4 linked regions of the Diceros bicornis minor genome follow. The protein of the gene in region 4 purifies or fractionates together with the protein of the main gene of each other region. This does not show direct contact. Links are inferred from orthologs where the notes say so. Each region holds a gene or a part of one and is shown on either strand. Other genes may lie near its edges. The genes, in order: BCL11B, core histone macro-H2A.1, GLI1 and HDAC1.

The links.
Region 1: the proteins of HDAC1 (region 4) and BCL11B purify together in Homo sapiens (affinity purification with mass spectrometry; 4 studies listed by BioGRID and IntAct, with this or other methods). This does not show direct contact. The link is inferred for Diceros bicornis minor from reciprocal best matches to the Homo sapiens genes HDAC1 and BCL11B.
Region 2: the proteins of HDAC1 (region 4) and core histone macro-H2A.1 purify together in Homo sapiens (affinity purification with western blotting; 3 studies listed by BioGRID, with this or other methods). This does not show direct contact. The link is inferred for Diceros bicornis minor from reciprocal best matches to the Homo sapiens genes HDAC1 and MACROH2A1.
Region 3: the proteins of HDAC1 (region 4) and GLI1 purify together in Homo sapiens (affinity purification with western blotting; 3 studies listed by BioGRID). This does not show direct contact. The link is inferred for Diceros bicornis minor from reciprocal best matches to the Homo sapiens genes HDAC1 and GLI1.

Annotation. Positions count from the first base shown.
Region 1 is NC_080763.1:44,454,263-44,461,697, reverse strand, and holds the start of BCL11B (B-cell lymphoma/leukemia 11B), read left to right. Parts: upstream 1-4,434; 5' UTR 4,435-4,748; intron 4,749-5,722; exon of another isoform or gene 5,723-7,095; 5' UTR 7,096-7,435. UniProt on the Homo sapiens protein: Key regulator of both differentiation and survival of T-lymphocytes during thymocyte development in mammals.
Region 2 is NC_080740.1:54,404,681-54,411,604, forward strand, and holds the start of core histone macro-H2A.1, read right to left. Parts: upstream 3,001-6,924; 5' UTR 2,899-3,000; intron 1-2,898. UniProt on the Homo sapiens protein: Variant histone H2A which replaces conventional H2A in a subset of nucleosomes where it represses transcription. Nucleosomes wrap and compact DNA into chromatin, limiting DNA accessibility to the cellular machineries which require DNA as a template.
Region 3 is NC_080756.1:11,495,215-11,502,784, reverse strand, and holds the start of GLI1 (zinc finger protein GLI1), read left to right. Parts: upstream 1-4,566; 5' UTR 4,567-4,688; intron 4,689-4,902; 5' UTR 4,903-5,050; intron 5,051-7,570. Other genes in the region: INHBE (inhibin beta E chain), read left to right, coding at 697-994, 1,253-2,010. UniProt on the Homo sapiens protein: Acts as a transcriptional activator. Binds to the DNA consensus sequence 5'-GACCACCCA-3'. Regulates the transcription of specific genes during normal development.
Region 4 is NC_080752.1:47,051,608-47,058,534, forward strand, and holds the start of HDAC1 (histone deacetylase 1), read left to right. Parts: upstream 1-3,910; 5' UTR 3,911-3,967; coding exon 3,968-4,016; intron 4,017-6,927. Other genes in the region: tyrosine-protein kinase Lck, read left to right, coding at 264-466. UniProt on the Homo sapiens protein: Histone deacetylase that catalyzes the deacetylation of lysine residues on the N-terminal part of the core histones (H2A, H2B, H3 and H4).

The sequences.
Region 1 (7,435 bases), on a different chromosome or scaffold from region 4:
GGGTTGGGTGCATTGAGGTACCGGGAGCTAATTAAGGTGTTTGATAGATTTCAATTGGAGTATGAGTTCTTGCCAGAAACATCGACAATTCGATTCCCCAAACACAACGTGGAGTGTTAAACCCACTAATGCTTTATACATTACTGTGTTCCTTCCCAGCCGGAATGTGTGGTCTGGGTACAATACCAAAATGGTCCCCAAACAGGCCTCCTCACTCTTCAGTTCTCTAATTGTTCCTGTTAAGCAGATACAAATAATGAAACTGCATTTCCAACTGAATCCCAACAGCTGAGGAATCCACCCATTTGAATCCGGAGGTCCAAATTCAGACGTTAAAAAATCGACCGTAAATCTGCCCTGTATTTAGATGGCAGACCATCGGAGACAGGTCAGAGATGGGCGTCTTCGCTCTCACCCACTGTTTCATTTCAGGACACATGTGGGAGAAAGGGAGAGAGAGAGAGAAGAGAGAGAGAGGCAGAGGGGCTTTGTCACAAGTTCAAATGGAAACGTTATTGCCACATCCATATTTTAGAAGCCATTGTTGTTTCAACGATCCCAAAGGCTTAAAAATCACAGTGAAATCATTTTTTTTAAAGGATTCAGATTAAACTAATACCAGAACGCACAGCAATTCAGCGTCTCGGTTTTCCCTGGGCAGCATTAATTATCTTTTGTTGTAGCAAATTGTTTGCCTTGTAAATTGAGCTGAAAGTGTGTCTTCACGCAGATGCAATGTTTTAATACGTGCACAATAGAGCAACTTTTATAATTTCCACGTACTATAGGTATACTATTCCATCTCCAATAATGCGCCCGTGGTTCAAACTTTGTGTTGCAGAAGCTTGTGTGCTTGTCATCTTGCAACATTAACCCTTCTCTATTAAATAGAGGGAACGCCACTTAAGTGTTTTCTAGGATACAAACTACCTTTGTTAATTCACTCGAAAGCATACGTGCCTGTTTCCAAAACTACGAAACAACAGATGAGATCTCCCAGATCCTTTTTTCTTTTCCAGCTCTGGAAGGCATTTGCGAAACAAGGTGTTGGCTGGTTTTTATTTTTATTTTTTGGTAAGTACCGCCTTGCAGCCTTCTCATTAGCCTGCCTTTTGGAGGGATGCTAGCCTGACTCGTGCTTCTCTCTCCTTCTCTGTTCTTCCCTAGGCCAGTACTTCCCCGGATTCTCTTTCCACTGCTTTCTTTGTGGAGCATCACAGCACAGACAGGAGTTCTCAGAGCCTGGGATTGGCGGTGGGGGCAGAGCTTGCAACTGAGTCAGACTTGTCTACAACTCCTGCTTAGCATTTACTGAAACTTCCTCTTTCTCAAACTGCTTAAGGATACAAACTAATTAATCCTCACAGCCTCATAAAACCCCTTGTTAGGAAGGTGATCATTATTGCCTCCATCTCGGCCGCTCCCCGTTTCCTATCACCAGACTCAATGCAGCGCCAGTTCTGACGGCAGCGCCTGACAGCCAGAGTCGGAACTGAAAATTCCCTTCTGCATCCCAGTTCTTTCCCCAAATGAACCATTTTAACTCTCTTTCTCTTCCTTGTCTGTGGTCTAAATAGGGTAGATTGACAGTCACTAGACCCCTGAATTTAAACTGGTGTGTGTGTGTGTGTTGCACTTTTAGTCATACAATTTGGAGACTCAGTGACAAGAGGGAAAGCAGCAGAGAGACTCTTTTGTACAACACACCACACACCACACACATACACGCATACACACTCCCCACAGCCACTCTGATCTCTGTGCACATGGTGGGGTGGGATCTGGTGGAGTCTGATTGTCTTGGTGAACAATATTTCTCCCAAGTCGACCAACTGGGTGATGCCAGTCCCTACCGAATTTGAATTGATGACTCAACTAAAGCATTAAAATTAGCAAGGCAAGAAAATTCCAAATGAGGTGAGAAAGCTGTAGAAATAGTTCCAGATCCCCTAGTACTGAGCCATTCAATATCATTTCTGATGACAGGGACAGAGCTAGGAACAGTCAATGTGGGTGTGAGTCTTTTTCATATACGGAGAGCTGGGTAAGTATTTTTTAAGGAAAATAATACATGAATCAGGAAGAGTGACTTTGATTTAACCCCTTGCAGGCTGCAGCTCTAAAGACAGCAGGCAACGATGCCTCTTAGTTTTTCTAGAGCTTGCCTATGCTTCCCGCAGTTAAGCAATGGTTGGAAATCTACTACTGTATCAAGCCCAAATATTACTTGCAGAAATAAGTAAGGTGCAAATGATGTCATGTTTTAACAAAAGCGATGTTACTAAATTCAGGACACGGAGAGAATCATCCAAACGATTATCAGAAGGCAAGTTTTGTGGTCCTGTCTCTGCTATAAGGTGACAATCCGAAAAACTCCTCCAAATGCAGCAAAGCCTGAATTGAGTGCTTACGGCATTTAGAAATTTGCCGTAATTTTCAGAAATGATATAAAACAATTTTATAAGATATGCCGGGAAGCCCAAAAGGCCTCTTTTGTCTTTTTATGCTTCTGGATTTGATAGCTCCTAGAGATTCTAGAACTGTAAGAAGAAGATAAGGACCATCTCGGGAGCCTTATTAATATGTACATAAATATGACTTGCTTAGTACCTCCATTGCGGTTTCTTTGAAAGTTAAAACAAGTCAATCCACTGATCAGAACGCTGCATTTTATTTATCCTCATTTTCACAGTCAATAGCGTTTATAGATCCTGAGGAGTAGAAATTAGCAGACACAGTTTGCTTCTGAGTCTGCCCTACACCTGTGAATACGAAAAGATTCGCCTTCTCTTTGCACGGATTTTTTTTTAAAGCACCATAGATGAACCGGTTCTGTAAGATGTGCTGTTAAGTTTGTATATTGCTACAAAGTTATTTGACTACATTTTAGAGGATGGATCCATGTTAAAAAAAAAACAGCAAATGAAAAGTCGATTTTTTTCCAGCATAAACGTTGGGAGTTCTCATTTCTACTGACACTACTTATCTTGATTCTTTCCAAATTTTTGTAAAGACGTCATAGAAAATCTAACAGCTCAGAAGGCAAAGATAACATTGTAGAATCGCAAATAGAGCCCACCTCAGCTAAGAGTTAAGGATTGAGAATCCTTCAGAGAATTTTAAACAAGAAGCCTGGCTAGGAAGTCACGTGTCTGTTTAATCTGCCCCCCCATGCGTGGCATGGTACGAGAAGCACACATAGGGAATCAGAGCCCCACACAAGGTTAATAAAAATGCACTCTGATTTGATGCAATGATTTCTGATTTCTGAACTATTCTTCTATAAAGAAATTTAAAGTGACTGAGAATATGGGGGATTATCTGCTGGAATGCACTCTGAAGCTAGAAAAAGAAAAGCAGGGAAATATTTGTGAGTTCAAAAAGCTTTTTGACATCTGCTGTTTTATCTTTTTTTTTTAAAGATAGTGCAGAAAATGTGGTATTTCTTTCCATCTGATTGCAGTCTGCACAAAGCCACAGCCCTGGGCCCAGCACCCAGTAGGTCTGCAGCAGGTGCTGGAGAAATGAGTCTGAAGGATTGTAATATGACTCAGGACCACGTTTGTACTTGTACTTTTTCCTCTTTTATTTTCATATGTTAAGCACCCGCTCCCCCTCACCCCCCCTTTTTTGGGGGACGGAGTGACTTTTATTCTAAACAAAGACTTGGTAGATGAAGTGGTGGGGTGGGGGGGTGTGTGCGCGCGCCGTGACCTTCTCTGAAGAGTACTGGGTCCCCTGTCTGCCTGGGGTTCTGAGGAAAGGGTAGGGACGGGGCTGTGTCCCGGGCTCCCCATCTCCTCCCGCCCCGCCCGCCTGTTGTCTGGGCATCCGGAGAGTGGGGAAACATTAGTGTGGGCCAGCTGCCTAAGCCGGGCGGGGTCGAGGGAGAGGTCAAGGTCGGCGGAGAAGCGGCTATTGATCCGGCTTGGAACGCGAGACAGGGAGCGCAGCAAGACTAAAGGGGGAGCTGTGAGACCAGACATTAACAGCTTCCACCGCTAATGATGCCCGTGCCAGACGGGCAGAGGGAAAAAAAGGAGACTGGAGCGGCAGCTGGGATCGCTTGCTGCCTGCGCCCGGCCGCCTTTCGGGAGAGAGGAGGAGGAGGAGGGCCAAGGGGCCAGCGCGGGCTGGGCAGGGGCAGGGCAGCCTCTCCCGGGCCGCCGCGAGGTGGAGCGCGCCGGCCGGCGGCGGCGTGTCCGGCCCTGCGCCGGCCCGCCCGCGCGTCCCTCTTCCCGCCGTCGGGGCAGCGCGGGGCCAATGAGGAAGTGCTCCCCGGGTCAGTCGCGGCCCGCGCCGCCCCCTGCCCGCTACTTCCTGCTGGGGGTGGGGCGGGGTGCCCCCTCCCCAGACTCCGCCGCCCGAGCGCGCGGGGGGCGGCAGCTGCAGCCGGGGCCCCTGGGCGCCCCGCGCAGTCCGCGGAGGGCCCCCTTTCTTGAAGGCGGCTGCCGCGTTCCCCGCAGCCACAGACCCGGTCCCCCTTCCTTGTTATCATCGCCCCGAGGGCGAGTGTCGCGTGTCGGGATTTCGGGTGCCGGAGCGCAGGCGGCGCGGGGCAGCAGGCACGCGGCGGCGATTGGAGTCCAGACTTGCCCCTTGCGCTGTGTAACCTTGGGCAAAACGCTAACCTTCTCTGGACTTCACACGGCCAGTTCTCGGAAAGAGACCTAACAGCTCTTCCAAATTTAAGAATCTGGGCGAGTTGGGATGACCGGTTTATGGTTTTCTTAAGAAGTTTATGAAAGGTGCGTGTGGGCATTTTTTCTTACTTAGGCCACTTTCCTGGAAAGATTTTCGCGGTGGGGCTAGATGAGAGGAGAGGGAGGCGCTTCTAGACTTTGGACCACGTGGAGGTGGAGTGTGGGTTAGGAGTAGTGGGCAGCGGCGTGCAGTGGTGGGGAGGGGGAGTGCCGACTTGCCCCCGCCCCTTCCACCGCCCAGTCTCCACCCGCTTGGCCGCCGACCCTGCAGCCCAGTCCGCAAAACTGCATGCTGGGGCACATTTTATTGTTATTATTTTTGGGGGGGTGGTTTAGGCAGGGAGCTCTTTCTGGCCTCGCTAATGGGCGCTGCGCTCTGTTGAGTTGCTGGTACGGTGACCCCACCCGAGACCTTGGAGGCGAACAAAAACCCCATGTGCCCCCCAAGGAAAAGGACCCGAGGGAGGCGGCGAGCCCGGAGGCGTCTCGGCCTAACCAGTCGCTCGGGTGAAGCCGCCGGAGCCGGGCCTGGGGGCGGGGTGGGGTGGGTGCAGCTGGGCTCGCCCGCGAAGCCCAGCCCTGAGCCAGGCCCCGACCCGCCCTGGCCGCTTCCCGGCCCAGACCAGGAAACCCTGAGAAGGGAGAGAGGTCCAACCGCGTGGCGCGTCCAGCCCGGGAGGTCAGGTCATCAAATAGACGAGTTGGCCACGGCCTGAGGAGGGACGAGGCTGGGGGCGGCGGAGTGTCCATGCAGACCGCGGCCTGGCCTTGTCCGCGGGCCACGGACAGGCCCCCACAACTCCTCTTGTCCTCGCCGGCTGGAGATCAAACGGCTGACAAGGCAGCTGTGTCCTTCCCAGTCTGACCGGAGATTTCAAGTCCTGCCCTGGGCGGAGGAGCACTGGGGGTGGGGGCGTCACTTTCAGGTTGCAATAATTGTCAGTGAGTGGGAGGGAACTGGGGGACCTGAGGGGATCATCCACAGGAGTGTCTTCAGAGTACCGGCCCCGCCTACTTCTGGGTCAGCGCCGACAACTCCCTCTCCCACGTGGAGCACCCCTGCCCCCTTAGCCCCCACTTCCTGCTGACTCTGGTGTTAGGGGGTGGGGCCCGGATTTGACCCGCAGGAGTTAATGGGGTGAAGTGGAGAGAGCTCACAGATTCCGGTGAGCATTCCTTCCGGAATGGGACTCAAACAAGGTCTCATGTCCCCCTCCCCCAAATGTGCTCTTAATTCTCTCCTCTGTATATCTTTTATTTTGTCCACTTCGCTCTCCCAGAGTTTGTAATATCAGGATTTATATGGAGGTACTTTTTGGAAGTTTAACCCCGACCCCCGAATAAAACAAAAGTAAAAACAACCAAGCTACTTTTCCAGGGAGATGAAGCGACTGACCATGTCCCCCATGTCGACTCCAACCCTCCTCAACGCCGGCCCCCCCCCGACGTCCAAAAGAGCTTTCGATGGGTGGGTGGGGACTTGCGTTAATTCAACTTACTTCCACGCACGCAGCACTCCGCCCCCCTTCTCAGGGGGTCCTACTCCCAGGAGGGGAGGAGGGATGAAGAGGGTTTTCTTTTATTTAAAAATATCCTGCCCACCGTCTCCCCCCTCTTTGCGCTGCCAGTGCACGGGGAGAAGAGGAGCGCACAAAAACGCTGTTTGCACGTGTGGCCGGCCTGGACTGCGGGTGTGCGCACGGGCGAGTGTGTGTGTGTGTATGTGTGTGCGCGCGCGCGCGAGTGTGGCTCTGTGTGTGTGTGTGTGCTTTCTTGTTCTCTTACAGGGTACAATGTTAAAAAGCCACCGCTAGTCGCCCCCAGTGCTCCGACTCTCTGGGTCTTTTTGTCTCTAGTGCAGATTAAACGTCACGTCCGCACTTGAACTTGAATTTTATCCCATTGTACAGAGGCAGCCCCAGCCATAGAGAGACCGAGAGCTCCCAGAGAACCCGGACTCCGCCATCTTCACGTTGCAATCTATAGCTCCCAGTCCGCGCCCGCACCGACCCAGGCGCACTGGGCGAGCCGCCCCTCAGCCCAGCTCCCCCCGGGCCCGCGGCGCCAGGGGAGCGCTGGGGAGCGCTCGCGGGGACCCGGCAGCCTCTCCGGCCGGCGCCAGCCTGCCAGGTGAACTGGGAAGGAGCCGCTCCTGGAGTCAGTCCCCCAGAGCCTCGGAAGGGTCAGTCTCCGAGAAAAAAAACAGGCAGCCCGCAGAAAACCCAGAAACCACCGAACCGGGGCAGCTTTACATTGCTGTGGGTTTTTTGAGGGGGCGGGGTGAGGGGATACGAGACAAGTCCTCAAGTTTTCTTTTCTTTTTTTCCTTTTCTTTTTCTTCTTTTCTTTTTTATTTGTTTGCATTTTTTCCCCTTTTCCCCCCTCCTGGTAGAAGTGCGCTTTCCACCTACCAGACCCTGAAAGAAAGTCTCAGGAGCCGGTGCAAAATCCGGTTTAAGTTCAAGAAGACATTTGGAAGTCCAGGAGGCCAAGCAGTTTGAAGAAGTGTAAGAGATTTTTTTTTCCTTCAGAAGAATATATTTTTAAAGAAACCGGCCACTCCGCGGCAAGCAACAGCATTTTTTTTTTTTGCCTCTTTCTCCTATTTTAGATCGAGAGGTTTTTCTTTTCTTTTTTGTCTTCTGTTTTTCTTTTTGCAAACAAAACAAAAAACAGCATAGAAGAAAGAGCAAAATAAAGAAGAAGAGGAGAAGGAAGAGAGGGCAAGAGAG
Region 2 (6,924 bases), on a different chromosome or scaffold from region 4:
CTTCACACCTCCTCTATTAAAGGCTGTGCCAAACTCTGAGATAACCACTCCAACAGAAGACCATCAAAGGAAAAGATAAAATGCGAGCTTCAGAAGGGCAGGACCCTGGTAGGGCTTGGTATCTAGAAGCCATTCAATATTCGTTGAATAGATGAAGACTTCCCAATAAGAATAAAGAACATCTGACCATGTGTCTCCCCGGCTCAGAGCCTTCAACGGCTTCTGACTGCTCTCAGGATGAAGTCTAAATTCCTCAGTGTTGCTGACCAGCATCCTCTGAGATTCGGCCTGTTTGACCCTCTAGCTTCACTTGACCCCCCTCTAGGATCCAGCCATCCTGAGCCTTTGGCAGTTCTCACCTCTATCCTCATTTTCTAAGACTCTGCACATGTGGTTCCCCAGGCCTCAAATACTTGTCCCCACCTGCCCTCCTTTGCCCAGCTGACTCCTACGTGGCCTTTCAGTGCCTGGTAAAGGCTTGCTCCTGGCCAGGTTACTGTCCCAGGGGCTACTATGGGAGCTACTCTGACCTCCTGCACTGACCTTGCAACGGATGCTTGCCTATTTCTCCTTCTCACATCAGCTTCCCAAGGACAAGGACTGGGCATTTCTTGATCATGGTCCTGTCCCCAGTGCCTGACCCAGAGTTGATTCTCAGGAAATATTTATCAAAAGACTGCAAGACACCCATCTGGCAGGCTTGATCCAAGCAAACAAGCTATACGACTCTTTGGAATGAAGAGTTGACCCACGTGAGCTCACTCTTGAGAGCTGAGGTGGGGCCCAATGTACTCCTAAACCTACAGAACCCAGGGAGGACCAAGGACAAGTACGGGCCCCACTCACCCCTGCTCCTTCCCAGCCTATGTACCAACAACGGGGCTGTCAAAAACCCAAGACACACTCAAATGAGACCAAGAGGCTGCTGCAATTCTGACGAACACCACATACAGATTCTTGTTGGGTTTTGTCAGCTTGGGGTTTTCAGTTTGTGTTTTTGTTTATTTGAGTCTCCTTTAAATGACTTGGGGCAGCATTAGCTCTGAAGGTATTAGAGGCAGTCCCAGAATACACGTACTCCAAGCCTCTGCGTGCGGAAGGGATGAGGGCTCTCCCGGAGTTCTGCCGTCTCCAGGGCCGGAAGAAATGGCAGACTGAGGTGCACCACTCCCTGACCCTGGCACATTTGGTGTAGACCAAGCCAGTGACTTACGGTCGTGTATTAGAGTCTCATGTGTGATGTCCCCGACAACTCTTCAAATTTATCCAAATGCGAGCCATCCCTTGCTCATTCTAAACAATTTTCACTTACTTTAACCCCTTCCCTCCTCCTTAATGCCTTTATCTAAGGATTAGCATTAACAGTGGTAACATTAAAACAAAATAACAGACTGGAGAAATTTCCTACTTTCCTCTTAAAACTAGAGGGGGGAAACTTTTAAAGTCTTGAGGGTTTAAACAAAAAAGATTTTAAAACACATCTATCCTTATTGGAGAGCCTCTCGTGCAAGACTGAGATGTCGCGGCCCAACCCTGGTTAGTTGTGTACAAGGGGTATTAATTTCAGTGCAGGCATGAGGTGTCCATTTCAGAGCTAACAACTCCTAATAGCAGACAAGTACCCTAAAGGCGGCCTGCAGTAGGTGGACTCCACCTAATTTGCAACTACAGTCTCCCACTCAAACCTACAGCTGTTCAAAAATCTCCCAGTTCCTGGAGCAGGGAGCCTTGGAACAAAGCACTTTCCCTCCTCTTCGACGGTAAAACCTCAAACCACAAAGGTGGAAGAAAAAGAGAAGCCAGCAGGAGTGCCCCTCTAATTGTCTATTCTTATACGCTGTTTATTGGATCATTAAAACCTTACCAGGACTTCCTGGTAACTGTAACTGTTGAATTCAAGGTTTGTCTCAGCTATTTGCACAGAAATCTCGCACTTTCAAACTCAAGAATATTTTCCCTAACATCTCGTCTAAAAGGACTTTCCAAGCAATCTATTGACAAGACCCTTGAGTGATTCGTGGTCTCTGCAGGAGTGGAGGTGGGGCGCGCCACCCTGCACACCTGTTGTCAGGTGACACGGCCAGCAGCATCCTGCACACTCACCTCCCCACTCCTCCCCACCCCCAGCGAGTCTCTTCCCTCCTGGCCTCCTCCACCCAGGAGCCTACAGCCTTCCGGAGTTACCTTAAAAAAAAAACTCCCAACCACAAAGCAAACAAAAGGCCGATCAGGAGAGGAGCGAGAGCAGCGGGGGTTCCCGTGGTCCCTCTCCAGCCAGTCCCTGGATAGCCCCCTGCCCGCCCCTGCCTGGCTTCAGTCCGGCGAGTATCCCCCAGTCCCCCACCCTACGCTCCCGGCAGATGCCGAGCCAGACTTCTACACCACGGCCACCTGGGGCTCGGGCCCGACTTATTGTGCCGGGGCCGGCAACTCGCGGGCCGGCGGCCGCCTCACCAAGTACAACTCTGGGCACAGCAGCTCCTGGACGCCCAGGCCCAGGCTGGCCAGCCAGCGCCGCGGGGCCTCCTCCGGCCTCCGGCCCGGCCCGCACGGACCGGGAAGGGACGCCGGGGGAGGGGCCAGAACTGTCTCCTTCCCACAAAAGCGCCCAGGCGCGGGCAGGGGGACGCGGTTCCAGGAGAAGTTGGCTTCCGGGTTTGCTTTTTGAACAAAACCAAAGGGAATCCCGCGCGGCCCGGGCGGGGCCTTGGGAGGGCGCCGTGCGCGCGCGAGGCCCCGGCGTCGGCCGCACCGAGCGCTGCAGCCCGAGCCCGGCCGAGCGCCGCCCGGTGCGCGCCAGGCCCGGCCGCTCCCAGGCACCCGCGGCCGGAAGAGCGCGGCGGCCGGACCCGGGCGGCGGGGACGGGGCGCGCGGCGAGGGGCCCGCGCGGCACTTACGGGGCGGCTCGGCGACGGCGGCGGCAGCAGCAAGGTGTCCGGCCCGTGCCCTCTCGGCCGCTCGCGCCTTTTCTCTCCGCGCTCCTCGCTGGCCCGCCCGCGCTCCCGCCCGCCCGCCTCCTCGCTTCCCGCCCGCGCCGCGCGCTCGCCCCCTCCGCCCGGCTCCGCTGCTGAGTGAACTGGAACCAGTCGCCGCGGCCCCGGGATTCCCACAATGCACAGCGCGCCGCTCGTCACATCCCATCCCGTCCCCGCGCGTCCGGCCACCCCTCCCGCGCCACCCGGGCGCCCCGGCCTTGACCCCAGCCCGCGGTTGCGCGCGCGGCGGCCCTCGGCGCTCCGCCGCCTGGACGTCGGTCAGTCTGTCCCCTGGCTGCCCTGAGGCCCTGGCGTCTGGCCCTCCGCCCTCAGGCACGCCGCCTGGACGTGGACGCCGGACACAGGGTCCGGCCCTGAGCCTGGGGCGCGTCCTGAGCTAAGTCCTTGGAAAGGGTCGGGCCCCAGGCAGAGGCGCTCCTCCAGAACGCGTCCCAGCCTGTGTGTCTCGAGTGACACTGATTAAGCGCCTACGTGTGCCTGGCCCTCAGCACGGGCCTTTCGCTGCCTTATCCCTAGAAGTCTTCCCATTGATCCAGGGAGGGAGGCACAGTTGCTGTTACCAGCAAGCACTTTTCCCTCCCCAGCCAATGCAAACCTCCCGCGCTCCTCAGAGCCTCCCGCGGTCTCTAAATACTAACCCCATCACACTTGACCCCACGGCCAGCTGCTGCACATCCGGCTCCCCTCGGGCTCTTCATAGTGACCCTCAGAAGGCTGCACCTGCTTTGCGCATGGAAGCGTTAGCTACTTCGATTCAGCAAACGTTCTCTATTGGACCCAAGTGGGGATTTATTAATATAAACAGTGATTCTTTATCATCACACACTTTTTTTGAAACTGCGGACAAGCAGAAAGAGGAAGGGCCACCTCAAAGCCGGTCTTTGTATTGCTAAATTGTTTTCTCTCCCGAAGGCGTTAGCGGACCCTTCGGAGTACTTAAATAGGAGCCTTCCCTCTACTCTCCTCCTCTCCATCTGCCAAAAGCGTGGAAGGGGAAGCCACCTCAGCACCCAGCTGTGACCAAATTTAGATAACAATACACGCCCAGCAGAGTTGATGTGAGGTTTAGTGTACCGCTGCTGGAGGTGTTGGGGGGACGATTATGGAAGTCCTCAAAGACCCCTCCCAGCCCTCAGGCTGCCCCCTACAGCAGCGGTGGTAACCTCTTCTCCTCCAGATGATGATTTACACCCACCAAACTGTAACAGTTTGCAAAGCAGTGTCCAATGCATGCCATTCATGCATTCATTTCAATTAAGTACTGAGGTCTTACTTTGTGCCATGCATCAATTTGGGTGATAAAGATGAAGCAGTGAACCGAACAGGTAAAAATGCCCGCCCACCTGGGGTTTGCAGTCGAGTAGGGAAAGAAAGACAATAGGCAAAAGAGATGATGTGTCAGATGGTGTAAACACTGTGAAAAATAATAAGGCAGAGAAGGAGGATAGGGAGGGTGAGATGGGTTGGGGTTTCAAATTTTAGAGGCCTCCCTGAGAAGGTGACATTTAAGCAAAGACATGAAGGAATTGAGGGAGCAAACCACGTGGATATCTGGGGGAGAGTGTTCTAAGCATGAGGAACAGCAAGTGCAAAGGCCCTGAGGCAGGAATTGGACATTCCAAAATTGTCAAGGAATAATGAGTGTGCTCTTACCACAAAAAAGAAATGATATTTGTCTTTCATCTTTCTTTAGGGCTGAGTAGTATTCCTTTGTGTGTGTGTGTGTGTGTGTGTGTGTGTGTATATGTACACCACATCTTCTGTATCCATTCATCTGCTGATGAGTACTAAAGTGGTAAAGGGGCACATTTGTACAGTGACAGATGATAAATAGACTTTTAGTGGGGAGCACAATGTAGTCTATACAGAAAGCAAAATATAATGATGTACACCTGAAATTTTTACAATGTTATAAACCAATGTTTCCCCAATAAGAAAGAAAATTAAATTTAAAAAAAAGAAAATTATGTGATGTAAGTGTTAACTAACAGTAAGGTGGTAATCGTATTGCAATATATAAATGTATCAAATCAACACGTTGTACACCTTAAACTTACACAATGTTACGTGTCTAATATCTCAATTAAAAAAAAAGGAATAGTGAGTGTGAGGTTGGAGTGGAAGGAGCAAAGGGGAGAGAGTTACAGGAGGTGAGGCTGGAGAAATGATGATTCTTTGAGTCCCAAAACAAAGTATTTTGGCTGCATAAGGATCCCCCAGGGAAGCTGCAGAGGGGTGTCAGGGAAGGTGCAGAGACTACCTCATGTCATTGCTCTGCCCCTCCCTGGGTCCTTGGGCAAGTCTCAGCTCCGCAGGGGCCAGCCACCACGCAAGGTTTCTGTGGGCCATGGCAAGTCTGGAGGATGCCAGACTCCATTTATTCACTCAACAAACACTTGCTGTGCACCTGCTGTGTGCCAGGGTCGTGCCAGGCTCCTTCCCAGAGAGGAAAACTTTCTAGGTGTGTTACCACACTGTCCAGGCCCTGGTGCAAAACATAAGCAGTACTCCTGGAAACTTGAACGAGAGAGAACTGCTGGGCTGCGGGGAAGGCCAGGCTGTGTGGAGAGGGGGAGATGCTTGCAGCCTGCTGATGCCCTGGTAGTGGTCAGACCTGAGGCTGCTTCTTCCCCAGGTCCTGAGTGATGACCAAGGCCAGATGCAGAGGATGATTGTCCAATAGATCCCAATCTGCAACTCTAGGAAGCCAAGAAGTAACTCCCTCACCTCCAGCCCAGCATTGGTTTCTGACTCAGTTGATTTGCCTGGTGACTGGGAAGCGGGTAAAAGGCCGTTTCTTGCTCTCCATCTTATTGCACTCTCACCATCTGCCAGATCACGTATATCCCATCATTTCCTCCTCACAACAGCTCTGCAGACAGGCTGTTTCTGGGACGTTTCTATCCCCTTTGTACAGATGAGGACACTGTAGATTCAAGAAGCCAGGAAAAATGCCTGAGATCTCAGAGAAAGTAGGCTGGCACTGGGGTTCAAACCCACGTTCATCTGGGACCAGAGCTTTCATGTTCAGGCCTGAAAAGAGCCCCTCTGGGGGCTTCATTTCCTCTCCACCCAGCATCCGTCCTCCCCACACCTCCCAATTCAGAGTGGATCTTTTTGTCCCCACTCGGTCATGCACCACTGTCCTTGGGTTAGAGTCTGCACTCCTCCAAAAGCTGATCTTGGTGCCAACTCCACCCCCTACACCCCTCCACAGCGTGCCATTCTCATAGAACTCACTAGAAATATTGTCCCCTGGCGTTGTTCAAGGCAGAGGCCCTGTCTCCAGCTCGCTCCAGAAGGCTCCACCCTCTTTCTCTCCAGCAATTTGCATGCCCTGTTCTTCCATCTGCGTGACCTGTCCCCTTCCCCAATCTGGCTCAGGGGGCTTCCTCAGCTTCTTTTTTTTTTTTTTTTTTGGTGAGGAAGATTGGCCCTGAGCTAACATCTGTGGCAGTCTTCCTCTATTTTGTATGTGGGACGTCGCTATAGCATGGCTTGGTGAGTGGTGTGTAGGTCCGCATCCAGGATCCGAACCTGCAAATCCCGGGCCACCGAAGCAGAGTGCGCAAACTTAACCACTATGCCGCCAGGCTAGCCCTCAGGTTTTTTTTCCAATTGCAAAATAAATGCATGTTCACCACGTAAAACTTGGAAAATAAAAATGTGCCAAAAATAAAAATCACCCTAAGTACACCACTAGAAGAGAACCACTGTTCGCCTTCCAGCCTTTGCAACCATATCTACTTAATATTGAACATATTCAGGTTCCTACTGCGTTTAGTGCTTATCACGTGCTTTTTAAACTTAATGGTCCTTTATGAACATTTAACCAGGTAGTTATTCTACAACAGCAGTTCTCAAACTATTTGGGTTCAGACCCCCTTTATCCTCTTAAATTATTGAGGACTGCAAAGAGCTTTTGTT
Region 3 (7,570 bases), on a different chromosome or scaffold from region 4:
GAAATAAAGTCACCAGAGTTCTCCTTCCAACCCAGAGACCCCAGAGAAATAACCACTGGAACTCCAGCTGCCTCGTGGAAACTGCTGCAGCAGAGGTGGCTGGGCAACCTAGAAAGACTGGGGTCTGGGGGGAAATGGCCCGGCCCCACCTCGTTCATATGGAGTTCCCGCCCCCGAATTCCAGACCTTGGGGCCTGAGCATGTGAAATCATCCTCTTTCTTGCATCATGTGTGTCCACATTGCCCCCCCACCCCCATACCCCTACCTCAAGCTCAGTGACCAGGGCCAGATGGTGAAACCCGAGCTCCAGGGGGGAACCTCCCCCCCCTGCAGGGACCTGATGGGCAGCACAGCCGGCCAATCCTGAGGCTCAGAGGGTAGGTTGCCGGCTGACCACTAGGTGAGGGAGCCCCAGGCCACTGGCTCTAAAGAGGCCCCAGTCAGTAACAGACATGAGCTGTGAGGGTCAAACTGGCAGACTTCGCTAAACAGAGCTACCCATCGGACCATCCTCTTCCTGCCCTCCTGAGTCCCAGGCAACAGAAGACAGGTGGTTCTACCCTTGGCCAAGGGTAGGTGTGGCACTGCTGTCTGCTGCTGCTGTGCCCTCGTTAGCCTCCACGCAATCAGATTCAACAGAAGGAGCAACTGCCGTCTGAGGCTCCCAACCCGACCCAGGGCCATCCGCCAGGAGCATGGGGCTCCCTGATGTCCAGTTCCAGCTGGTGCTGCTGTGGGCGCTGGTGTGGGCACAGGGGGCAGGGTCTGTGTGCCCCTCCTGTGGGGGCCGCACACTAGCACCCCAAGCAGAACGAGCTCTGGTCCTGGAGCTAGCCAAACAGCAAATCCTGGAGGGGCTGCACCTGACCAGTCGTCCCAGAATAACTCATCCTCCACCCCAGGCAGCGCTGACCAGAGCGCTTCGGAGACTACAGCCAGGAAGTGTGGCTCCAGCGAATGGGGAGGAGGTCATCAGCTTTGCTACCATCACAGGTAGGTGAGGGAGAAACAGGCAGAGAGCAGATGGGGAAAAGGAGGCAGAAGGGGAGACTGACAGAAAAGGCAGAGGGAGTGGGGTGTAGGAGGAGGAGGCGGAGATGGGGCAGGGACTGGTTGCGGAGGACGCAAAGCAGTCCCTGTTTCTTCTAAAGGTGGGTGCTAGGGAAAGCAGTGGGCCGGGCTTATGGGACTCTCAGAGCAGAGCTTCATCTCTGCTCACGTTCCTCAGTCCCTTCTCCATCTTTCTGGCAGACTCCTCCACTGCAACCTGCAGCTTCATGCTCACCTTCCGCCTGTCCACTCCTCAGTCCCACCACCTGTACCACGCACGCCTCTGGCTGCACGTGCTCCCCACCCTTCCTGACAGTCTTTACTTGAAGATCTTCCGATGGGGCCCAAGGAGGAGGCGCCGACGGTCCCGCGCCCTCCTTGCTGAGCACCAAATGACAACCCCGGGCTGGCACGCCCTGACTCTGCCCTCTAGTGGCTTGAGGGGTGAGGAGTCTGGTGTCCTGAAACTCCAACTAGACTGCAGACCCCTAGAAGGCAACAGCACAGCTGCCCGACAACCTCGCCGGTTCTTGGACACAGCGGGAAACCAGCAGCCCTTCCTGGAGCTTAAGATCCGGCCCAATGAGCCTGGAGCAGCCCGGGCCAAGAGGAGGACCCCCACTTGTGAGCCTGAGACTCCCTTATGTTGTAGGCGAGACCATTATGTAGACTTTCAGGAACTGGGGTGGCGGGACTGGATTCTGCAGCCCGAGGGGTACCAGCTGAATTACTGCAGTGGCCAGTGCCCCCCCCATCTGGCTGGCAGCCCCGGCATTGCTGCCTCCTTCCATTCTGCTGTCTTCAGCCTCCTCAAGGCCAACAACCCTTGGCCCTTTGGTAATTCCTGCTGTGTCCCTACTGCCCGAAGGCCTCTCTCTCTCCTCTATCTTGACCGTGAAGGCAATGTGGTCAAGACGGATGTGCCAGACATGGTGGTGGAGGCCTGTGGCTGCAGCTAGCAAGTGGACCTGGGGGTTTGGAGTAAAGGGATCACGTTGGGGGTTCCCAGGCAAAGGGCATCTGTGGCTGGGGGCATCAGATTTCTGATCCACAGCCCCACCCAGTGGGCCACCTGGCAATATGACTGGGTTGACCTCTATGGGACCCAGATGGGCACTTTCTTGTCCAGCCTCTGGCCTATTCCAGGCTGGTTGATGTGTGGGGAGATAGGGAAAGTGTGTCTTCTAAAGGAATCTACCCAGAAAGCATGATTTCCTACCCTAAGCCCTGTGAGAAGATGGCAGAGGTGGGGGGGGGGGGGAGGAGAAGGCAGAGAAAAATGACTTAGTCTCTCTCAAGAAGAGAAAGTCCTCAAGTGAGGGAAGGAGAAGCAGACCGAGGACCCAGCAGGCTTGGAACAGCGGAACCGGCTGGCCAAGGGTAGGGGCTGTCGAAGTGCTTTAAGGGAGGGTCAAGAGGGAGATGGGCAAGGGGCTGAGGGAAGGTGTTCAGGAGAGCCCCAGAAATGGGAGTCAGGAGAGAAGGGTGCTGGGCCTGAGAAGTTCCCTGGTTTTTCCTGGGGGGGCAGGACCCAATGGGGAGACAAACGTTTCTACTTTCCTAATAAAAACAAGGAAAACAAATCAACAAGTGTGAGTCATAAAGAAGGGCTGGGGTGATGGTCCAAAGCAAAGGTTCTCAAGGTGCGGTCTGGGGACCCTTGGGAGGTCCCTGAGACCCTTTCAGGGATGTCCCCAAGGTCAAAACTATTTTCGTAATAATACTAAGATGTTATTTGCCTTTTTAATTTTCATTATCTCGAAAGCATACAGTGGAGTTTTCCAGAGGCTGTGTGACATGTGATTACATCATCTGACAGCATTGTTAATGGGATGGTGCTTGTGTATTCTTGTGTTACAAACTTTTTTTCAGTTTTAATTTCTAATATGGTAAATTGATATAAACCACATAAACAAAACCTCAATAATTTTTAAGTGTAAAAGGGTCTTGAAACCAAAATGTTTGAGACTCGCCGATCTAGAGACCTCGGTGGGGAGGACAAAGCACTGTGCTCTAAAAGAGCCAGCCTGAGGGAAGGGGCAGATGGCTGGGACTGGAGCATGTGTAGGGTCCCTTCTTCTCTAGTGACCATTGGTCTTGCCTGACCCTCTGGGTATAACTGGTGTCTGGGTCAAAGTCATGTGGGGGAAGGAGGGTCAAATGTCCCTGCCCAATTACTACCTATACTTGTAGGGCCTCAGAGGTCTTCCTAGCTGCACTTTTTCCATGGACCCTCAGACTGAATACTGAACCTAGTGACCCCCCAGGCCCAAGGAAGTGGTTCTTGGAAGCAGAGCTAGGATGTGGGAGGTCTGTCTGAGGGGTGACATAAAAGGAGGGGACTCCTTTCCCCCACCACGCTTTCTCCCCTTTCTCATAAGGAAAAGTCAGAGAGACTAAAATAGCTGCCCCTTCCCCTGCATCTGGTCGCCATGGCAACACAAATCCCAAGGCACAGGGCACTCGCCTATCAGTTAGGTACTACCGCTCTGCGCTAGCAGCCTCTGCCGGTGTGCCCTCCGTTTCTGTGGGCTCATACAACCCCCTCCCTGGGCTCCTAACTGGGCCTTGGGTGGGGAGACCTGCTAAGTCTCCCCCAGTCTCCTCTGCCTCCAGTCAGACTCTGAGAGGGTGTGATGTGGCAGAATGGCCAGCAGAGGGAGCAGACAGCCTTGAGGAGCCGAAAGAGAGCGGGCAGCGCAGAGGTGCGGAGGTGGCCGCAGTCTCCAGAATTTAGAGATGAAGGAGAACGGAGGTTCTCAGGGAACATGCTTCAGCCCCAGGGCTCCTTTGTAACCTTGTGAACACACGCTGCACCCAAAGCCTGAGCCACCTGCTCCTCTCTTTTGTGCTTCATAGACTCCCTCACCTTCCGCGCAGGGCCGGCGACCCCAACTCTGTCCCAACCCTGTTTCCATCAAACTCCAACTCTGTCCCAACCCCTTCACGTTCCATCCGATGGGTGAAGCCGGCAGATAAACCACAGGGTGGCGGAATGCTCAATCAGCACCAGCCAAAGTCGACGACCCAACCTTCAATATTATCTTTCTCGGACGAACTTTTAGTCGCCCCGGCCCCCCGCCTCCCCCCCCCCCCCGCATATATCTATCAATCTTTTTTCTGGTTCTGATTCAGGGCCTCTTCGTGGGTAGTCGATCCAAGGATCCATGCCGGGATTTACTGCCCACCAGCAGCAGCGTGTTCAGCGGGGGGGCAGGGGGGGCAGGCAGTATAGGGTCCCTCAAGGGAGGGGGAGGATCCTGGGGGTCCTGGGGGTGCAATAAGCCCGGCACCCCCTCTCTCGCTTCCAGTTACCCCGCCTCATCTTCCAGAACGGTGAGAGGGAGGGAAATAGGAGGGAGGTGAGGGGCGAGCGGGAAGAGCGGCGGCGCGCCAGCAGCTTGAGCGAGAAAAAGTTTTTGCAAAAAGAAAAAAAAAGTTTGCGCTTCTCGCGGGTGGTCCCGGCTCGCGGCCCGGCGGGCTGGGCCGGCGGGAGGGCTGGGGGCCAGGTTAGGGCGGTGGGGGTGGCACTGAGGCTGCGCTGCTGTGGCCCTGTCCGCCCCCCCTCCCCACCGCACACCCCCAGCCCAGACTCCAGACCTGGACCGCGCATCCCGAGCCCTGCGCCCAGGCGGAGGTGAGAAGGGGGGCGCGCGGGGGACCACCTGGGAGCGGTGGGGGAGGGGGCTTGAGGGGATGCTCTGCTTGCGAGGGACTCTGCCCAGCCAAGAGGGAGACCTGGGGCCCAGAGGCAAAATGGGGGTGGGAGAGCCTGGGGTGAGATCTTAGAAAGTTTGGAGAATTTTTTCATTTGTGTCTCCGTTTCTCTGTATCTTTTTTTCTTCTGACAGTCTGTGTGTCTCTGTCTCAGGCAACCGTGGATCTCTTTGTCTGTCTCTGCCTCTCCCATACATTAGAAACATCTCACTTCCATGAGGTTGGGATGAAGAGGCTGGAGGGACGGCTAGCTGGAGGTCTGCGTGGTAGAGGGAACTCCAGGTGTGTCTCTGAGCGCCGGGCAGGAAGACGTCAGTGTTTCTGAAAGGAGGGGACAGCTAAGGAGAGAGCCCTAGGTGGGGTGGAGATGGGTGTGTGTGAGGCGACAGAACCACCGGGGGGCGGCTAGGCTTGAACCCCTGACCTGTCTTGTGACAGATGTGCTTTCGGGTGCATGTGTTTTGAGGAAGAGGAGTGCCTTCTGGACTAGGAGGGTGGCTGGAGGGGCCAGTGTCTAGTTTAGGCCCTAGAAAGACTCCCCAGGGAATTTGGACTCCTGAGTCCCAAGGGCTGTGGGCAGGGTGCTAAGGAGGAGCTGAGGAGACCTTGTCTTGACCCTCTGACCTCAGGACCACCAGGGCAGCTGGGGCCAGCCGCAGGGAGACCCCTACTGGGACTGGGCGGGACCACTGGCCGCTGCCTGCTTGTGCATCCCTGTTGGCCCCCCTCCCAAACGGGAGCTGGGGACCGAGGCCCCTCCTCTGGCTCAGACCACCCTGCCTGCCCTTGCTCCCCGCTCTGAAGCCTCTTTCAGGCCCCGTGACCCCGAAACAATCCGCCCTGGGCAGCTAGCTTTGGGGACAGGATTAGGGAAAGGGGATCCCATAGAGACCGGGGACTGAAGGTTTTAGGGGGCTGGAGAATTGGGGTCTTGATAGGATAGATCTTTACGGTCCAGTAGAGGGAGAAGGCGGGGCGATTTCCCGGGGGAGTTGTGAGGGCCGGAATTAGGGTGGTTTTCCCTAGGGGGGCGGGGTCCAGAGACCCCCCCCCATTATCTCCCCGGCATCCCCTGCCAGGCGGCACAGACCCCGCCCTTGACGTCACTAAGGGGTTCCCGGGGGTCTGGAGGGGTTAACCCTTGGGAAGCCATCCGGGACACCCGGGAACCTGAGGTGTCCTGGCACCTCCTCCTCCCCATACACACCTTATTTTATTTACCCACTTTCTCTCCCTACAGTTTCGGCATTCTTCTTTCTTTTCCACGCCGCCACGGGGACCCCCACTCCCCAACAGTGCCCCCCCCACCCCCGCGCCACTGCCAGCTTTCTGGATGCACTGAGGGGAGGAGGGAAGAATGTGTCCCGCCTCTCACCGCCCCCCTTCCTCCGACTCCACTGCGGCTCGCTCGACTGGGCTCCCGGGGCGGGCGGGGGAAGCGGAGCCGTCTGCAGCCAGAGCCTGCGGCGGCGACTTGGGTGGGCCGAGAAGGCACGGAGGCGGGGAAGGCGGGACCGGGAGAAGGGGGCGGGGCCGACTCCTGGGAGTTGGGGAGCGGGGGTGCGAGGGGGACTCTGGAAAATAGGGAGACACAGAAGATGATTCAGGGCTCCGGCAGGGGAACCCTGGAGCTCCCTGCCCCATCCTCGCTCTCACCCACACCCCAGGAAACGTAACTCAAGCTGGAAAAGTTGGCGAAATTTTTCTTTCACTAGTGTGAAGGGGAGACGTGGGTGGGCTGTGGCACGCGTGGGTGAGGAGGGATGTCGCCCCACTTCCAACTCTGCTCCCCTGCGGCTGGGCTGTGGGGCAGGACGATGAGAGTAGGCACGTTTGGGGGAGTCTCTTTAGTGTTTGGGGGGTCATTTGCGAGCCCCCGCCTCCTTCCCCTGGGTGAGTCATAGAAGGAGGCGGGAGAAGTGTCCCCCCATCCAGCTGCCAGCCAGCTGTGCCCCCCCACCCAACCTAGTGCCAGGGTCGAGTTGGGAGGTCTTGGATGCGGGACCCGGATCTCCGCTGGGAAAGGAGGAGTTAGGAAGGGTACAGCCCAGGCTGCGGGGTTCGGGCTGGATCATGGGGTCCCGGTTCCGCTCCCCATCTTACCCCGCCCTCACCCTAAATCCCAGCATCCCGGGATCACCCACCGCGCCGGCCGGCCCGCTCCCGGTCGTTCTCCACCCTACCCCGCCCCACCCCACCCTCAGTCCCGGGAAACCGGAAAACCCGGGGCGGAATAAAAACTGGAGTTTGAGGAGAAAAGCGGACAGCGGCAGCCTCTCCTCCTTCACTACTCCTCTCTAATGGATGATGGCTTCATTTTTTCATTCTCTCAAAGCCTTCCTTCATAGTCCTTCTCCTGTTCCCAAAACAGACCAAAAGAATTTAGATGGGAGCCCAGATTCAAACCACCCCAGAATAACATCAGAAAAACATTTCATCCTTTCACCCAATAGACCCGGGAGGCTCCCCTCAGAAACCTTATCCCCTTCTACACACAGTTTTCTGCCATAGGGAGAAAAGGGCAGATCGTCGGTGATCTCTCCTGGCCCCAGCAGCTTCTGTCTGGGCTGTGGCGAGAGCGCCCTCTGCTGGACACTGGAGAGACTGTAGACGGGCTGTCCCCGGGCAGGAACAAATGAAGGAGAGGGAAAGGGGCTGAGGCAGAGGAGCCAGCCCAGGGCTTGAAGTCAGATGCTCCGCATGAGTTCCCCATCCCACCTGTCAAAGCTGGCCCGTGGTCTGAGCAAGAGGAAAGAGAGGGCCCATGGTATAAAGTCACTTGAAGCTCATATAGGCACAATT
Region 4 (6,927 bases):
TGTCTGTGGGCTTCCAAAGTCTGGAGCCTTGGGCTGGCTCCATGGCTTAGCAGTTAAGTGCGTGCGCTACGCTGCTGACGACCCGGGTTCGGATCCCAGGTGCGCACCGACACACCGCTTCTCCGGCCATGCTGAGGCCGCGTCCCACATACAGCAACTAGAAGGCTGTGCAACTATGACATGCAACTGTCTACTGGGGCTTTGGGGGGAAAAAAAATTATAAAGTCTGGAGCCTTGATGTTGTTTCTCCCATTAACCTCTAGGGATGACCAATCCTGAGGTGATTCAGAACCTGGAGCGAGGTTACCGCATGGTGCGACCTGACAACTGTCCAGATGAGCTGTACCAACTCATGATGCTGTGCTGGAAGGAGCGCCCAGAGGACCGGCCCACCTTTGACTACCTGCGCAGCGTGCTGGAGGACTTCTTCACAGCCACAGAGGGCCAGTACCAGCCCCAGCCCTGAGAGGCCTAGCTGGCTGGGGCCTGGAGCCCTCCCCCATCTAGCCAACCCAGCTCTGGGAGATAACGGTTCTTGTGTCATACCCATGTGGCCTATGAACGTACGGACTCTGCACCACGTGAATCCCGCCCATGCATGACACACACACTTCTCGTGTCTTATACACGGGTTCTGTAGTTGTGTGGGCTCTGCACATGTGTCTTGTACATGTGTGGCCTGTGCATATATGTCTTGGACACTTGTCCCTTTCTGGACCCTCCCACTTCCGGAGACCACCAGAGAGAGGAGCGAGGCCTGTGATTGACACCAGCTTCTGCTCGCCCCCTTTTCCTTTCCCCTGGTCATCAAGAAGCTCCTTGAGGGCCAGGACTTTATCTAATACCTCTATGTGCTCCTCCTTGGTGCCTGGCACACATCAGGAGCTCAATAAATGTCTGTTTGTTGATGAAGATTGTACATCTCTCTGCTCCCCACTCCCATCTCCTCTTCCTTGGGAGGGGGGAGGAGCATTCAGAAGATGGAAACTGAGTCACCCTGAATTGGGGTGAGAGATAGAATAAGGGATGTGTAAACTTTTTCCAGCCCTGCTGATGTTGGGGGCCAAGAGGAGGTCACTTGCTACTACACTTTGCTGTATGGACTTCAAACCACTACCCCAAAGGATTAAGGGTGACCATTACCCAGAACCTCCTAGGGAGTGGGTGTGTCCCAGGACTCTCCCCCCTCCCATTATATAAGGGCACTAGCATTTTTTACAGCTACGGACTCAAGGGCTATATTTGGCCTCAGATATGTTTTGATTCACTTTCAAGATGTTTTTAAACATTGAGTTAATTCACTCATTTAACAAATATTTATTGAGCATCTACTGTGTGCCAGGCATGGTTCTGGGTTCATAGGATATATAGTAGATAAAATAAACAAAATCCCTGCCCCTTTGGGGCTTACATTCTAGTAATGGAAGACAGACAGTAAACATCACAGAGAAGTAAAGGATATGTATGCTATAGGTGATGAGTGCTCAAGGGAAAACAGCAGGGTAAGGGGAATTAGGACTGTCATGTTTAGGGGAGGTTTGCAATTTTAAAGAGGGTGGTCTGGGAAGATCTCATTGAGAAGGTGATTTTCGAGCAAAGATTTGAAGGAGGTGAGGGAGTGAGGGATTGAGCCATGTGGTATGGGGGAGGGTCTGTCAGGCAGAGGGAACAGCATGAAGCAGAAGCTTGCCTGGCAACCGCAGAGAGGTAACGACAGCCTGAGGGAGGGGTATAGATCCTATGGGGCCTGGGGCCTTGTGGCCTTTGCAGGAGCCATTTTGAGGAGCCTTTGCAGGGCTTTATGCAGAGCCTGACATGATCTGACTTATATTTTAAAAGGATGGTTCTTACTGCCGTCTTGAAAATAGACTGAGTTAGCAGTCAATTTATACTACTGGTGAGATTTTGCATAAAACTCCAGATTTCTGCCTTCTCTTGAAAAAAACAGGAGGATTTGGCTCCGTCAGGCTTACCTGTCCTCATGGAGCTGAGTAGTGGCCACACTCTTCAGGTGGGGCATGAGCTCTCTCTTTGCCAAAGTCTCCTCCACTCCCTATTGCTCCCAGACAATTAAACTAAGTGTTAGTAGCTATTTATTATCACGCTCGTGCTGTTTTTCTTACAATAAAGAGGAAAATGAAATGATTTTTTGCACCCACATTTCCATTAAAAAGAGAAAATTAAAGATACCTGAAGATGGCAGTGTGTTTGAAGAAAGGTGGGGGAAATGCATATTTATTTATGAAAGCGAAAAAGAATCCAATTTTGAAAATATGCAAAGTGACAGAATCAAACTAATATAAATAATATAGTATGAATCCACTCATTTACATCACCTGCTTGATCTCCTTAGGCATCTGAGTTTGAGATTCCTGTTCTACATTTTATAAAATGCTGCCACACCCATGACTTCAACTGATCCCCACTCTCCTCCTCATTTGGACAGTGTAGCCATAGAGTCTGTGAACTTTTTATTCTCATTCTCCATTTTACAAAGAGGGAAATGGAGGTCCAGAAAGGTTCCTAGCAACACAGAAGCAGCAACACAGAACTGGGAATAGGGTGTGTTCCCTGGCCCTGGCCCTTTGCTGTTTCTATAGTAGAACTGACCGGTCTTAGATCTTCTGTTACCTTTATCATTAATGACCCCAATGCAGTTCCCAAGCGAGGAACACAAGTGTCCAAGCACTCTTTAAACTGTAAAGAGGAATAAAAATGTATCTTATTGACTATAGGACCATGAGTGAGTAACTTATTTGGCATATAGTAAGCACTCACTAAATATTAATATTGTTGTAATTGTTATTTTAATAGCCCATCATGGTGCTTTTCAGTCTTTCAGCTTTCAATAATGACCAGTTGATGACTGATCATCAGTGCAGTGGTTCTCAAGGGGAGAGTGGGGGTGGGGGTGCAATTCTACACTGCCTCCAATCCCCTCCCCCCTTGCCCCGGAGACAGTTTTGCAATGTCTGGAGACAATTTTGGTTGTCACAACTTGGGGGATGTGCTACTGGCATCTAACGAGTAGAGGCCGAGGATGCTGCTAAGCTTCCTACAGTGCACAGGATAGCCCCCTCCGATAAAGAACTATCCAGCCCAAAATGTCAGTAGCTTCAAGGTTGAGAAACCCTGCTCCAGAAGAGGACAATCAATTTCCTCCTTTTTAAAGGCACTCCTTCTGGGTGACTGCATCAGGAAGGTAGGCTTTGGAGTAAGAAAGTCTGGGTTCTGCTACTTTGTTACAGCCTCTGGTGCATAGTAGGCCTTCAAAAAGTCTGTACAGTTGAAAACTGAATTTAATTACTAATTGTGCAATTCTGAGCAAGTCACAAAGGCCTGAACTTCATTATGCTTATCTGTAAAATGGGGATAAAAAGCCCTACTCCAAAGCTGTTGTGAGGCCTGAGATAACCGAAATAACGCTGGTAAAACTATTGTACAGTACTTGGCCTCCAGCAGTTTTCTTTCGTTTGTCAGATTACCCCTCCCTCCTCCAAACTCAGGTTCTAATCCAGGTTCAGCCCTTTTGTGAGTTAAGTGACCTTGTGCAAGTCACTTTTCCCCCATAGGCCTCAGGTGATTCTTTGTAAAATTACAAAATTGACCTCTGATCACCAACCCCAAAGAGGGACTGCGAACTTTACAGACCGCTTTCCTCCCCCGGGACTAATGGTACGGTCCCCGGGCAGCTTCCCCCACCCCCCTGTCGTCGACCTTGGTACAGGCCCAGGGGGCCCTAGGCGGCCTCTCAGGGCTGCCCTTGCCCCCTGCCGAGTTCCGGGCCGTCCCTGCGCGAGCTGATTGGCTGGAGCGGTGCCCGGGCTGCGCGGCTATAGGTGATCCCGGGAGGGGATGGGCGGAGCGCGCTGGAGGCCCGCCCCCTCCCCCCCTGGGTCGGACGCTGCGGAGCCGCGGGCGGGAGGACGGACGGACCGACCGACGGGAGGGACGGGAGGCGAGCAAGATGGCGCAGACTCAGGGCACCAGGAGGAAAGTCTGTTACTACTACGACGGTGAGCCCCGGCCTCGCGGCGGGGGCGGGGCCTGGCCCGGCCGGATCCCGGAGAGGGAGGCTGAGGCGATCTGAGGGGGGAGGCTGGGCGAGGCAGGGGCGTTGAGGGAAGGCTGAGAGAGGAGGCAGAGGGGAAAGGAGATCGAGGCTGCGGGACGAGGCTGATTGGAAGGAGGTCGGGGCTGAGCGACGAGGCTGATTGGAAGGAGATCGAGGCTGAGGGAGGAGGCTGAGAGGAAAGGAGATCGAGACTGAGGGAGGAGGCTGATTGGAAGGAGGTCGGGGCTGAAAGGAGGCTGAGAGGAAGGAGGTTGGGACTGAGGGAGGAGGCTGAGGAGAGGAGATAGAGGCTTAAAGAGGAGGCTGAGAGGAAGGAGGCCGGGGCTGAGGGAGGAGGCTGAGAGGAAGGAGGCCGAGACTGAGGGAAGAGGCTGAGGCAGAGAGGGGGTCATCCAGGGAAGCCTGAGGTCATCTTGGCGGGGGGGAATCCTGAAGAAGGCTGATGTGGAGACTGAGGGGGACTCCTGGAGGGGAGGCTGGGTCTGAGGGAGGAGGCAGAATCTGATGGAGAAGGTTGCAAGGGTGTATGTTTCCTGCTGAGAAGACAAAGGTCTCCCCCGCGCCTTCCCTGCCTCCTCTGTTTTGGTGAGAGTCCTGCGGGAATCACCAACTCGTGGTCACCGGCTTCCCCTCCCCCCGCCTGCGAGCAGGGCCTGCAGTTGCTGCTGGGAAATGGGGCCCCTGGGGTTGGAGGGAGAAGGATGCAACCTATTAAAACAGACTTTTTCATGTAACAGAAATCTGTCGACCAACTTGCTCTGTTGTAGGGAGTGTTGAGGTGCTGGGGCCATGGGAGGATCAGGTCACTTCCCATCTTCGTCTCAGTCGGGAGGGGAAGACAGACAATGACGGAGAGCTGCTCTCCACTATCATGGCGGGATCAAGGAAAGCACAGAGGGGAGGCGCTCGGCCCGGCATGAGGAGTCAGGGAAGGAGGTGCCATCTCTTAGGACCTGAAAAACAGGAGTTGTTAGCCTGGCACAGGGAAGTCCAAGATAACAGCAAGTTTAGGGGTAAGAGAGGACAGCACCTTTGGAAAACAGCAGTTGTGTGTAGAGTATGGCTGAGGCCTAGATCTGAGGGCAGAGCGCAGAGGGTAGGGAGCAGGGGCCAGGGAAAGGTTGCCAGTGATGAGGCTGGAGAAGTAAATGGGGACTGGATCCTGAAGGGCTGGGCATACTGCCCTAAGGAAGTTGGACTTTATTCTGAGGGTGCTTATGAATCATTGAAGTTTTATGCAGGTTAGTGACATAATCAGATTTATACCTTAGGACAGAAATTAAATTCATGAACGCAGGGGTAGGGAAGAAGGTGAGAATCCCAAGTTTCTGGTTTGGACAGTTTGATACAGAGTGTTTGAAGGCCATGTCAGTTGATAACTGTTTTTTTTTTTTAAGAAAAATTCGTTGATATGTCTGGGGGCTATCCGAGTTTTTGGGTGTCCAGTAGGCAGTTGGCCATTCAGGTCTGCAGTTTAGAAGAGAGCAATTTTTGGTAGTCGTCAGCATACAGATGGTAATTTTAGTTACAGAAGAGGATGTGGTCACCCAAGAAGTTGTATGGGGTGCAAAGGGAAGAGGATCCAGCGTGGAATCCTAAGGAAGTGGACTGAGGAAAAGTCTAGTGCCCTTCATGCTCTGTCATAGCGCTTGTCACTGTGTATTGGAATTGCCCATTTACTTCTTCATACTTCTTACAGACAGTAAACTCCTTAGGGAAAGGGACTATGTCTTCTCTACCTTTGTATGCTCAGCCCCCAGAACAGTGCCTATCTCATAGTAGGCTCTCAATAAATACTTGTTGATTAAATGAACAAAGATACAGAGGGAATGGCCAGAGATGTAAGTGAATCCGAAAGTGTTGGGTTACAGTAGCCAAAACAGGGAGGGAGTGGCCTAGTGTTGGCAAGCACTGTTTCCTGTGCAGGGTTTGGAACTGAAGCTAGATTGCAGTAGACTGAGGAACAAATGGATGGGGGAAGAGGAGACATCAGGTTGAACCCTTTTTGAAGGAAGCTTCTCCAGGGCAGAGAGAGAGGGTTGTTGATAAAGGGGAGGTATAGTGGCTGAGAGTTGAATTTCCAAATTCTTATGGAAAATAGCCAGAGAGAAGGAGAGGTTGAAGATATAAGAGAGGGGCTAGTAATGATGGAGTTTTCTGAGACCAGGTGAGATGGAAACCAGAGCACAGTTAGGGACACCAGCCTTCAAGAGGAAGTTCCTTCGTGACAAGAGGGTAAGTGGCAAGGAAGAGTTCAAGTGTAGGTAGGTTTGAGGGGGAGAAGGTGGGGAGGAAGTTGAGGGAGTTTTCAAGATGAAGTAAGAGAATAGTCTTTTTCTTGCAAGTCGGGGAGGGCAGTTGGTAGAGTAGGAATCTTGAAGAGAGAGAGCTGTTCAATAGCTGTTGTGAAAGAGGGAGCTAGGAAAAGAAATTTGGAAGGAGTGCTGGGCGGTGGTGAGGGCCCATTTGAGGCTGGAGCCTATGACTTTGTAGCCATATTAGTTTGCACAGTTGTGATCTCCACACACTCAGTTTAAAAAGAGGAAAAGTGGAAAGATCCTGGTCTTTAGAGAAGGAGACTTCTTTTTGAGAAACTTCTTGTGAGTTTTGCAGTGCGGTCACTAGCTTGGGACTCAGATTTGGCTCTGCCACTCAGAAGCTTTGCAGTATTGGGCAAGTCACTTTACCCTTCCAGGCCTCAGCTCACTCTCCTATAAAACTGAAAAATTATGAAAATGGGGAAAAGCTCTTTAAAAGTTTAAAAGTAGTATCTAAGTAAAAAGGATTATTTCTTTTAAGTCTTTCAGCAACCTGGTTAAAAACTCTTAAGAAAATGATGGTGTCTCTGGTCC